2 linked regions of the Oryzias latipes genome follow. The protein of the gene in region 1 binds, or shares a complex with, the protein of each later gene. Links are inferred from orthologs where the notes say so. Each region holds a gene or a part of one and is shown on either strand. Other genes may lie near its edges.

What was found. Proteins that work in one complex are often made in the same cells at the same time.
Region 2: gtf2f1 (region 1) and polr2k share a complex: the UniProt entries of both Homo sapiens proteins name them as parts of the TBP-based Pol II pre-initiation complex. The link is inferred for Oryzias latipes from reciprocal best matches to the Homo sapiens genes GTF2F1 and POLR2K.

What each region holds. Positions count from the first base shown.
Region 1 is NC_019866.2:14,105,539-14,111,926, forward strand, and holds the start of gtf2f1 (general transcription factor IIF subunit 1), read left to right. Parts: upstream 1-2,142; 5' UTR 2,143-2,409; intron 2,410-2,635; 5' UTR 2,636-2,680; coding exon 2,681-2,692; intron 2,693-2,993; coding exon 2,994-3,040; intron 3,041-3,219; coding exon 3,220-3,292; intron 3,293-3,632; coding exon 3,633-3,826; intron 3,827-4,142; coding exon 4,143-4,313; intron 4,314-4,384; coding exon 4,385-4,590; intron 4,591-4,702; coding exon 4,703-4,853; intron 4,854-5,016; coding exon 5,017-5,072; intron 5,073-5,171; coding exon 5,172-5,303; intron 5,304-5,384; coding exon 5,385-5,458; intron 5,459-5,823; coding exon 5,824-5,965; intron 5,966-6,079; coding exon 6,080-6,218; intron 6,219-6,388. UniProt on the Homo sapiens protein: TFIIF is a general transcription initiation factor that binds to RNA polymerase II and helps to recruit it to the initiation complex in collaboration with TFIIB. It promotes transcription elongation.
Region 2 is NC_019869.2:7,012,656-7,019,329, forward strand, and holds the start of polr2k (DNA-directed RNA polymerases I, II, and III subunit RPABC4), read left to right. Parts: upstream 1-2,507; 5' UTR 2,508-2,621; intron 2,622-3,686; 5' UTR 3,687-3,764; intron 3,765-3,847; exon of another isoform or gene 3,848-4,327; intron 4,328-4,631; exon of another isoform or gene 4,632-4,737; intron 4,738-6,674. UniProt on the Homo sapiens protein: DNA-dependent RNA polymerase catalyzes the transcription of DNA into RNA using the four ribonucleoside triphosphates as substrates.

The DNA.
Region 1 (6,388 bases):
ATCCTTTTATCACAGACAGGGCCGGCCCTGGTCTTCCGGGGGCCCTAAGCGAGATTTAATTTGTGGGCCCTCTAACTGATCAGCAGCACCAACAAAACGCAACTGTTGTTGTAATATAAATGAGATATATCTAGTGCAGAATGTTGGAAAGAAGTGCCTTCACTGTTGTGCGTGTGTGCACAAATGTATAACTGTCTTTTAAGTAATAATGAAACAATAAGTTTGATTTGGGTTCCATATTGGGTAGATTTGAACTGACCAGCAGCAGCATCAACGTTTTCCCTTTCAACAGAAGATGTGGTGACAGGAGTTTCCTCTGCAGCTAAAAAACAAGAATCATTATACAATAATTAATGATGAAGTTAATAAAATAACTATAGCAGAATACTACTAATAGTTTAGTGGTTCGGTTAAAATCTGTGTGCAGGTTTTTCACAATGTCATGATCTTTTTATATATTTATGAAAAATAGATTGTTTGATTATATATTTGCACAAGATCATATTTATTTATTTATTAAGAACAGTTTAGGGCTCCATACTCTTCAGCCGCTGTTTATGGAAAAAAAGGGGTTATGCAGACACTGTTTTTTAAATTACTTTACATGCCACATGAGGGGATGTGGATGCTGCACCTCCTCCAATACTTTTTGATACTTTTTGAGAGCAGAAGAAAATGTTGGCTGACACGGAACTGTGCAAAACATCCTCATTATGTAGAACCAAAACTGCGAAATACAAATGAGAAAGAAATGTACCTATTTATAAATAATAAATGTGAATAATAATTTGAGTATAAATGGAAATATAAGCATTTATACACTTCTTATTCTATTATTTTGTATGTTCATAATTTTAAAATGAGTACATTTATTTTATTTGTCATTAATAAATTAGAACCTTTATTTCCTACTTGTATTTGGCAGTTTTGATTCTCCATATTCCATGCCAATGCAAGATTTTAAGACACATTGTTGAAAAAGTCAGACTACCAGACTGTCTATAACAGATAAACAGCAGTTTCTATACTGACGTAAACCGGAAAATGCAGAACGCACTAAATATGTGTTAGCAAAACAATTAAACAATACAATAACGTGAGTTAAACATTTATCAGCCATCACCGTTGTCGTTATTTAATCTTCTCTTCGCCGTTTTGGAAGGTCCTGTCTGACCTCATCCAGGAAACTTGGGTATCAGAATTATTTTAGAGTTTTCCATTGGAAATTACAACAAACGGGGTCGTTTATGTGCAAACTTCACCTGTCTTTCTAACTTTACCGAACTTCGGATCAATTAGTATTTTAAATCGCGAATGCACAGAAATACTGGATAATGTAAAAAATATGGCCCCATCATCCTCCAAACTTACCTTGTGATTGATGCTGAAGTTGTTCATCTTTTTTCAGCTCCTGATGGATAAAGTCTCTTTGGCATGAAGTGCTCTTGTTGTCGCTTTGATCAGCGTGACAAAATGAGCTATTTTTTTTTCTTTTCTCAACTTTATTGAAACAAAATGCGCTCGTAAATGCACACTGTGCCAGGCTCAGATGCAGTGATGTTGGCCAATCGTTGCTGAGAGTGGCGTAACGTCATTATTTGGGTTGCCAGATTGGTTCAGGTTTGTTGACAAGGGGGATCATTAAAGTGCAGCCAACTTTCTTTTGCACAACATTCACAGCTATGAAATAGGTTGCCAGATTTGGGTCTTTTTTTTATTTTATTTTTTCGCCACTTCGGGGCCCTGGTGATGTGGGGGCCCTACGCGGCTGCGTAATTCGCGTATAGGGAGGGCCGGCCATGATCACAGATTAATTGTCAAATTGTAAAAATTGTGAATGGCATTTACACTTTCCTTTCCTTACATTCAGGTGCACTCAAGCATAATCGGCTCTTAACACTGTGTTCACAGCCTAATCATTATTTTTTAAAGGAAACAATTAATTTAATTACTTTTTTAAATAATGTTTTACTTTTTTAATAAAGTTTTTATAAATTTTAAACTACATTTCAGGGAAACAAATTTAATTTATATGTTTTTCTTTGTTGGTAAGTCTGTTTTTACTTATTAGTTTGATTTTTTTTTCTTTCATTCCAGTTACTGTCTGCATTTTCAATAGGAACTATTTGTGACGTGCCAAGGTTTCCTGTCGACCGTAAAAAGTGACGGAACGATTACGCTGCAACAACGCGCACCTCACCGGTACACCAGTAGTAGTGTTTTACTCTCGGAGATGCGGGGCTTTTTCTTTTAAAAAAAACAACAACACTATTTTTGTATTTCATTTTCCTTTTATGCATCTTCACTCGGTCTGAAGTTGGACTAAAACGACCATATGAGCTCGTTTATCGTGCTGGAGATCTAATGATCTAATCAGAGCTAACCATTGAAATCTCTACGACCGGGTTGGTGAGACTCAGCATTCATTGTTATTTTCTTTCACAATAAAACCAGTTTTCGGTGATTGTTTGCTTTCGAACATTTGTTTTTTTCTAACCCGTCTATAAAACTAGTTTTGTAATAAACGTAATCATATTTTTACACATTATGAAAATGGCCGACATGATCATGTTGCACTAAACATTAGTGAAATACCTGCTAAAATGTCCTTTCTTTTTCTGTAAACCCTTAATAGCTCCAGTGAAGTGTTGGCAAATCCAGAAGTTGTTGATAAACAATCATGACATCTCTGGTAAGTTCTGACTTTTTTTTAATGATTATTTTTATTATTATTAACATGTAAAATGTTTTCGTTTCATTTAAGCTATTTTAGCCCGGCAGCTTCCGGTTACAGCAGGAAAGAAAACTTTATTAATCTGCGCTACAGAAGACAATGTTACACGAATTTATCAGTGGAGACTAATTGTAAAGCCTGAGTTGCATGCAGGCAAAAACTCATTCAATCAGAAGGTCGCTGATCTTATAGCAAAACCTTTTTTTAATAGAAATTCCACATTATTTGTTTGTTTGTTTGTTTGTTTACCATCTTCCAGGGGGGCAGCAGTGCTTCGACTACAGAATACACAGTGAGAGTCCCCAAGTGAGTAAATGAAAGCAGTAATGTGTTAGTAATGTTGACCATAACACAGAAATGACACCGTTATCCTTTGAAATAGTAATGTTTTGCATCATTCTGCCCTAAATTTGTCAACGTGTTACTTGACTCCGCCTTGCAAAAACAACTCTTTTTATTTTTTTATTTATTTTCTTGCCCCATAGAAATACAAGCAAGAAGTACAACATCATGGCTTTTAATTCTGGAGACAAAGTCAACTGTTCGGCCTGGACACAGGTGGGCTTCATGTCTTCTTTTTTGCTCCAGTAAAGTAAATCTATATTTTAAATTTGGTTATAATTAAAAACAATAAGATCTCTTAAAACATCCTTAGGAATTCAGAAATTTGTGACAAAATACAAGGGAGTACGGATTAATAAAGCAACTGCGTTTTATGACATATGTGGTACTAATGATGTTTTTTTAAATGTATTTTTTGTATTGAAATGTGGTGCCTCTTGGCCAGGTCTCCCTTGGAAACGAGATTTCTAATCTCGATGGGACTTCCCTTGTTTGATAAAAGTTCTAAAAAAAAAAAAGGTATTAAGTTAAATATCCTGCTTTGTCACTCCCCCAGGCTCGCATGGAACGCGACCTGAGTGCTCGGCGAATATATGGCGAGGAGGAGTTACCAGAGGGAGGGGCAGGGAGCGAGTTTGGCAAAAAGCAGCGCGAGGAAGCGCGGCGGAAGAAGTATGGCATTGTGACCAGAGAGTTCAAGGTGGAGGATCAGCCGTGGATTTTAAAGGTCAACGGAAAAGCAGGAAAAAGGTAAAGCGATAAATGTTTCTATTTTTGAAACTTAAGTACATTTTTTTTTTTTAATTTACCTGCAGGCTTTCTTGAAGTTATGACTTTTTTTTCTTCAAATAAAGAAAATCAATAAACCATATTTATTTAACCGTTGTAGAAAATGAGCAAATACGTCTTCGTACTGAGTAAGATTTGGTGTAATCCTCACCAATTTTTAACAAAATCTGTTGGTGTGTTTTTTATTTTTCCTAAAATGTTTATTGCAGCAAGATTCTCCTATGATTCCAGTTCTACAATCTTCAGTCTGGCTATAATATTTGTCTTTCTGCATCAGGTTCAAAGGTATAAAGAAGGGCGGCGTGACAGAAAATGCATCCTACTACATCTTTACGCAGTGTCCTGATGGAGCCTTCGAGGCTTTCCCCGTTCACGGCTGGTACAACTTCACGCCGGTGGCGAAGCACCGAACTCTGACTGCAGAGGAAGCTGAGGAGGAGTGGGGCAGGTTAGCAGAGCAGCAAGCTGGACTTGGAGAATGCCTTTTGTGTTTTAAAAGTCATTTCCTTCTTTGTCCAGGCGGAACAAGGTGGTGAATCACTTCAGCATCATGCTTCAGAGACGCCTCCGGGAACAGGAGCGGGGCGAGGAGGATGACGATGACGCCGACAAACCCGGAAAGAAGAAAAAGAAAGGGGGCGGGAAGGGTGGAGATTTGCGAATTCATGATCTGGATGAAGACCTGGAGATGAGCAGCGACGACAGCGACAACAGCATGGGAGATGGTAAGGATCCATGCAGCAGGCTCCAGAACTGTCAGGGCGCTCAGCCCCTTCCTCCAAACGTCTGTCAGCTCATTTTCCTCACCTGCAGCTTCCGTCTCTTCTTCGTTTGCAGATGGAGAAAACAAAGCAAAGGCAAAGAAAGACAAAGCCAAAGGGAAAGCAAAGAAAAAGAAACAAAAGAGCAATGAGAAGGATGCCCTGGAAGACAGCGATGATGGAGACTATGAGGGTCTAGAGGTGGATTATATGTCAGATGAAAGCAGGTGGGCTCCTCAGCGTATTTACCACATATACATATTAAAGAAAGAACATGTTTTTATTTGGTCTTTTTAGAAGAACAAGTCTGCATTTTTGATTTTCTACGTTCTTTGAATTCAAACTAAAGCTAAATGCGTGACACTTTTAGATCATTTGTTTCCTTTTTAGTTCAGAGGAGGAGCTAACAAAGGAGAAGCCAAACAAACAGGAGGAGCACCCTAAAGGTTTTTGTTTTTACACTAGGAACATTTAGCTGTTTTTTTTTTAAAAAGGACATTTTATAGAGAAATGAACGGCTACCCTGTTGGTTTCTGCTCAAATAGGCATAGATGAGGCATCTGAGAGCGAGGAGGAGAGCGAGGAGGAGAACCAGAATGAAGAAGAAGCAAAGGAGGAAGAAGAGGAGGAGGAAGGAAAGAAGACTCCGGTTCAGGTGGAAAAGAAAAAGAAAAAAGGTATCAGTTATACAAGTTTTTTTTTTTTAAATGATTAGAGGTATCTGAGGGGAAAAAGTCATGTAGGCTCATTTGTCGCAGACAGCAGCGGGGAGTCAGAGACTTCGGACGACAGCGACATTGAGGGAGAGACGGCCTCTGCTCTGTTCATGGCGGTTAGTTTTGTTTTTAGTGTTATTCCTCTTTAAGTATCATGTTTCTTTTCAAAAGGCATCAATTTTTCCAGAAGCAGATTTTACGTTTTTTTGTTCTTGAAGTCTCAATTTCCATGTATTTTGACATGAAACTTGTGACTTTTTATTTTTGAGTCCACATTTGGATTTGCTCAGCTGCAAAGAACCATTGGTCACTTTGGTAAAAGATCAAATCCTTTTGATAAAATGGCAATAAGAAAAAATCTATTTTATGTGCAGTTTTGACCTATAAAAGAAACATTTATTGAACAAAAATAAAGCAAACTGAGGGGGAATCGGATGTTCAGCATGTAAACTTAAAAGCGTCACCCCTCCTCTCTTCTCAGAAGAAGCGCACGCCCCCCAAACGTGCGGCAGGCCGCGGCTCTGCAGGCAGCTCCAGGACCAGCAGCCGTCCAGGGACGCCCTCCATCGACTCCGGCTCCACCTCCAGCACGCTCCGGGCAGCCGCCAGCAAACTAGAGCAAGGCAGGTTTTTGCACTCGGACACGTCTAGGAACGTGACCTCGAACAGGACGACCCGTGTCAGCACAGGTGGGGACTCCTGTTTTGCTGTTGTGATCAAACCTCTGCTTTTTACAGGAAAGAGACCGCCACAGGGTCCTAGTGCCGACTCGCCGGCGGCCAAAAGGCTTAAAATGGAGCCCAGCTCTCAGAGCCCAGGACCCTCAGGGAAGAGTACACCTCAACCTTCATCAGGCAAATCCACCCCTAGTTCAAGGTACTTTTATCCTGCACACCGCCACACGTGCATTCTGAATTTTAACAAATGATTGAGTTGAATTAAAAGAGCATTTTTGTAAAGAAACATGAAATACATTTGTTAGAAATGTGTCTATAGGATACCTTCATCCGGATTGAGTTTTTGTTATTCGTCTGTAGTCATTTAAC
Region 2 (6,674 bases), on another chromosome or scaffold:
CAGACGGCGGGCATCTCCGGGGTCCACCTCGAAGATGCAGTGAGACAGCTGCCTCATGAAGGCGGGATGGAGCTGGTGGCTCTCAGTGGTGACACCTGACGCAAAGCGGCGCATCAGGTACCAAGTGTCAAGTCGAACCACCAGCTGCCCCCACTCCTACAAGACAAACATTGAGAGACCTTTAGGACTGAACTGTGTCAGCAATAGTGCAAACATAGTGAATCTGAGTTTGTTCCGAAAACAAGGCAGATGTCTTGGACACGCCGTCTCTGCTGCAGCAGTCGTGATCCACGTAGATGAGCTGGGGGGGAGGACCTTGGCGAGTCGATACAGGACTAAACGACTGTCTTTTGTTCAGGTGGGACAACACTGCGCCTAGAAGATCCTGAAGTCAAAGAAGCGGCTCCTGCTATCATCATCAGAAGACGAAGAAAGCCGAAGCAGCAGCTTCTGTATTTTAGAGAGGGCCTCCATCATGGACACATTTTCCATCAGAAGGTGTGGCCACACATGCAATGCTGGTGTCTCCTATAATGTGCAGCTGTCAGTAGGAAACGTGTGGAGGAAGAATAGGAAATAAAAGGCAGAAAAAAGACTGAAAGGCCATAAAAGTTTATTTGATTGAAAAATAGATACAATTTAACAGACATTTTGTGTTCTGCAGTTTTTCTTGAAGCTGTAACGATTTGTGCAAAATCAACATTTTATGTAGGTTTGACACTAAATGTAGCTTATTGACACATTTTAAAGTCCAGGATGTGAGGAAGAAGAACTGTTCAAGATTCTAACTTTGAGAATAAATAAAAATAGAAACAGATTTTTAACAGACGCTGTACTTTGAAAGCTAATCCACAACATGATGGTTCTGAAGCAAAGAAAGAGTTCATCAATCATGTTCAAAGGTTGAACACAAAGCAGAAGCAGTGATGAAAAACTCTGGGAAAAGTGTGAAAAGATCTTCAGGACGAGTTGAAGCGCCACACTTTTTGTTCTAATGCTTAAGCTTCAAAAAACCTTGATCCAATTTAGTTTTAGCTGACGTTTATGTGTGATGAGAGAGTTCTGCCCTCTTTGGTGAACACATCTGTCCAGAACACGGAGAGTTCTGCAGCTGCAGCTTTGTTTTGTCGATGATTAAGTCTGAAAAAAAGCACAAAACAATTTGTTTACTCAGTACTTTCACATCTCTTTGTGCCAAATGATTCAATGCATCATCTCTCACCACCAAATCAGCCCAATTTCAAAGTATTTAGAGATGCAAATACTTTGCTAAATCTTTTAGATTTCTCCTGCATTTCTATGATTTGAACCTTTTCAGTCTGAGTGTACAAAGTGAGACATGAACTCATGAGCTTCTGCACGGGTCCAGAATCCACCACTCCACCTCTCCCATCCCTTCCCAAGACTGACGACCTGCCTCACCTTGGACCTTCTTCTCCCATGAAAGCTGGTGGGAGTCTTCCTCTTTCTTCATCCAAAGTCAGTCAGTGGGTCGTTCTGTGTTTTTCCAGGTTTCTGCTGGTGAACAATGACAGAGGTTAGATCTGCCGCAGAAACACCAGCAGGTTCATCATCACAGCATCATCGGAGAAATCTCCTCTCAGCTTCTTCACTCCTGGTACTTTGCTGGATCTCATTTCCATTTAAATCTCTGCACACATTTTAGTTTTCTGTGGAAACAATATTCCTATTATTAAAAATGTTCTGATTCAAAAGAAGTTTATTCTTGATATTTTCTTTTCAATTCTACTTTTATTGCAAATAAACGTTCCCTGTAAAAACAAAATCATCTCCGCCTGCAAACTTTGTATTAAATATGTTCTTTCCTTTTCCTTTTTCACTAAAACACACGTAACAACGTGAGTTCACTTCTTCACAAATACATTAATCTCTTTTAGACACTTGAAATAATGCAAACTATTTATTTGTCTTAAAATAATGGAAAACCGGCAGTTATTTGAAGGAATTGGAACGAATCCGGCTCTCTGATTGGACACAGCAAAGTTTGATACTAGAAATTGGAACAATTCTGGCCATTTGATTGATTGAGAAGTTGGAACACTCTGATCAGGCCCGTCGGAGGAAGACTTCCTCTCGCCGTGCAGAAGCTCCCGAGTTCGCGGCCCGCTGTGCGCGGTTGCAGCATAAAGATCCTCTGCTGCTGATTCTTCTAAAGAAACAAACAACTGGAAGGGATTCACTTCTTCTCTCAACAGAAAGAACCTGTAAATGGATGAAAACCATGAACGCGTGAGGTCATCGATTGATCGATTCACAGACATTCATTAAAGGTGGAAATCAATGTTTTTACTGTGTTTGTCTTTAAAAACCTCATTTCTTAGTTTATTGTTTTATTTATTTAAGTAATGATTTTATAGTGTGTGTGTGTGTGTGGGGGGGGTCCATTTATAGATAAACAAAATCCTACTTGTGCTTTCTTTATTGTTTTTTAAATTCCTAAACTTTTTCAAGAGAGATTTTCTTTTTCGGACGTTCCCTGAATGTCTCGGACTAGTCACCTACTGGACTCCAGCGTGAAAGGTTCGGATCAGAACCGCTCTGGGTTCGGCTTTTGTGCTTCCGTGTCCTACTTCTCCCGAACAACCTGAGTCCAAACGACGGTGAGGAGCAGAATTCTGCTTTCTGAGCTTCACACATGCGACAATCATGAGAAGACGAGCAGCTCATGCGTGGCGGTTAAGATCAAAGAAATTGTTCAAAGCTTTTAGGGAAACGAAAGACGACGGCCGCCGTGTTTGCTCAATTAGTTCACTTTCTGGAGTGATTTAAGTCGATATTACGAGATTATAACTACTGCTTTCGTGAGATAACGGAATAGATGTGTTGCTCGTCTTGTCGAAAACACAGTTTAATGATGTGTTATTAGTAGAAAACAAAAACAAATTTAATTGTTGCTAACGTTCAAAGCTCTAATCTAAATAAATGGCGGATTTGAAAGTAGTTTCTGGCCCGCTAATTTCACCAAATTTCCATTCCGTTCCAGTAAATAACGTTAAACTTCTTATTTATTGCTGACTGTGGGTGTTTGTCGTCAATTTCTCTGCATTTGGACGGCCAGAAAGCGCGTAGAAAAGGTCCAGTTATTTGATCATTTGATCACTGTTTTTTTAGGACTACGGCAGTTGTCCTAAAGCGAGGTGATAAGGACACGTCTACAACTTGGGTGACTCCAACACGCTGGTTCACTCTAAGAAAAGCAGTAATAAAGTAATAGTATGGATTTATGTGGAGTTTGTTTGAACAATAGTGAGTACTTGTAATGTTTTAGAGGTTATTTATGTTGACTTACTGAGAAACTGCTATTGTTTGTCTGGGGTGTTTTGGTGTACTTTATTGACGGTCCCCGTCTGCCTCTGTAGCTTCACATCGAAGTAAACTCAGGCTGTGACTCGTTTTCTGCTTCACCACAGACACAAATAAAAAGTTTACACTAGTCAATAGAACTATATCCAACGTCATGTTTGTGGATAAAGTTAGTATGAAAAAAACAAAGCAGACCGGTGACCGGATGTGTCTGTGACACGAACACATTCTCAACTTCTAATTGCAGCTCATCTTATATGTTTGATGAGCAAATGAAGTTATTTGCCTTTATAGTTCTTGAAATACTGGAACAAAATTCCACAGAATAAATATAATGAAGATCCACCGTTTCTTTATTTTAGTTGAATGCAACGCTTCCATGTAATGAATCTCCAGGTGGAGCGGTGAAACAGCGGCACCATGTGGCAGATCTACAGCAGGTATTTTCTGCATTAAACATGACTGTATCTTTGTGTTTAGAAACAGGATTTTTGAAGTAGAATTTTACCTCACAGATGCTCACAATGTATTTAAAGAATTTCAGAGGCAGCATATTGGAGAAAAAGCAGGAAATGGTCAGAATTTAGTTCAACCAGGAGCCGACAGGCTCTCAACAGGGAAGCAAGCCACTCAGGATCGTCTCCGCACCAATGAAAGTGTATAATCCTGGTCTTTGATGGGTTCTTCTTATTGAATTTAGGTCCATGTGAGTTCTGTTCGTCCTGTTGCTGGAAGCAGAAGCACAGACTCTCGTCTCTGAGCTGATCTTTCTGCAGCGAGTCGTCGCTTTGGCTTCCTGCTTGAAGGCAGCAGCAGAATGACGTCAGTCTGACGCGATCAGACCAGTTTTCTCTTTCTCCACACAGATCCTTGTCTGAAAGAGTCTCCACCCCTGTGTGTGTAACCATCAGCACATGGGGGTTGGTTGGAGCTGCGGTGGGGGTTGGTAAAGGTCCTCCTGGAGGGGTGTTGACTCGACCTTTTGTTCTGGCGCTTCCGGGAAACCAGTCGCACTCGTCTGACGTGACAAAACCCCCCTTCTTTTCCCAGAATCCTTCCAAGAAGTCTCTCACAAAGTCAGAAAAAATGTAATTTTAATCTGATTTAAGCATTTAAGTCAAACTTTGAATGGAGATGGTGAACCTGAGACGATCCTGTGTCATGGGAGAAACAGAGGATCTTTTTTGGTGTTTTGTCTTAATTGTGGTTCCCTTTAAAGTCCACTGTGTTCCCTCAGATCACACCTCATGCTTGAGAAGAGTAGCAGAGGGGAGGGTTTAAAAAGCACTCCGAGACATTGGCTCATTGCACTAGTTCTCTAGTGCATATACTAAAATTGGAACGATACAGAGAAGATTAGCATGGCCCCTGCGCAAGGATGACACGCAAATTCGTGAAGCGTTCCTCATTTTCTCTTTTAAAAAACAATTTCACCTAACTTTGTGTCATTGTTTTAATAAAAATAGCCCTTAATATGAACCATCCAGCTAATATATGACAATTTTTAATAGAGTTCATAGCAAAAGTTTCAGGAAAACTCACAGCAGACAAAATTATAGATGTAAATTAAAGCCGTACGTGGCATTGTAGGCGCTACCCGCTTCTACACACCACCTCCGCTATCGCTGCCCACCTCTATGCAGCTCAGCCGCCCTCACCACCCAAAAAATGCATATACTAACCATCCTAACTATGGTAGTTATGCTAAAATGGCTAAAAGTGCTAGCTTAGCGATCAGCATCATCAGCGTACTCAGAAAAAACACATTGCTTAAGACTCTAAATATGCTAACACTGCTAGATATGCTATTTTGGCTAGAATTGCTAGCATTGCGATCAGCATCATCAACTCACTCAGAAAAACACATTGCTTAAGATGCTAATTATGCTAACAATGAAAGTTATGCTAGTATGGCTAAAAGTGTTAGCTTAGCGATCAGCATCATCAACTTACTCAGAAAAACACATTGCTCCATTAGTAAGAGCTACATATCATACGTTGATAAAAAATCCACTTTTATTTTAAATGGCGGCTTTTCTGTTGATTTTATCTCCATAGCAACCATTTTATGTTTTGGTTGCCAGCGGATAACGAGCAGATCAATGTCAGTTTCAGACGAATCAGAAAAAGTAAACTTAAGGATGTCCATAGCAACAGATGTTTTTTGCTAACCGCGCCCACATTCCTTATATGGCCATATCCAGTGTTCTTCATTATGTTCACTTCCAGCCAAGGATGCATGCATTCAAATTTCACAGCATTCCATTGAAAAACATAAGAGTTATAACAGTGCGCCACATTGGCTAGCTTGCCACGCGGACACCGGTCAAAATCTACAACTTGTAATTTCAACATTTTTTCCACAGTAGCTTGACAATGATACCCAAGAAGTTACGAGACGATCGCTAAAAATTTGTCAAATTTGGTACTGGAGGAAATTTTGGTCCTAAAGTGCTTTTTTTTTGAAAATTCAAGATGGCGGTCTCTTCCCAAGGTCAAAGGGCGACATCATTAATAGCGGCGTTTCCGCTGACTATGAAATTGCGCTAATAGAATTTGCAACAGTAAATTCACCTAATAGAAAAACGACAATTTTGAAAAAACATCTCTGTAAAATAATCACAAAGGTGTCTGAAATGATTTCATTGAGAAAAAGTGTCATTGTGTATTAATCCTTGTGCTATCCTAGGTACTTTAACACTGGGAGTTGGGTCATATAGACCCACTAGACAGTGCTCTGAACTTTTTTTCTTCAATGATTTGTGAACCTCACTGGTGTCCATGAAATCTTTCCACCTTTATCCACCTTTGTCATGGTAGGGAGAACACGTCAATGTAAGGGTGGGGTCATCTAAGATAGCACAAGGGTTACAGTGGCATGACTTTCTCATTCTTTGAGCTATCTGGATGATCTTTATGTCTTCGGAAAGCTCTCTTTAAGCCCTTTCAATGACATAAGGATCAGATAGATCCAGTTAAATTTGAAATTTTAGGTACGTCTCTACATAAACAACCTTGATTGATCTAACTGTGATTACCAAGTTTTCTATCCGCAAAACAAAGGCGATCAGCAAGACGTAAAAACATTGAGAACTTGCATCATTGTAGGTCTATTAAGCTATTTTGTTTATTTCTGTGTTCAGAAATGGAAGCTCTATCATTTGTGGTCACCAACTTTTATCTATTTACCTTGGAAAATGGTGGCTTGTGGTCCCTACCTGAAGAATATTACTTAGGAGAAAATATATCAAAACGTGTGTTTCCGCGCTTATGTCTGCACTGGAAACGTCCAACCATGCAGAAAAAAAGGACGGCCAACACACAATCAGCAATAACTTATACTATTTTCT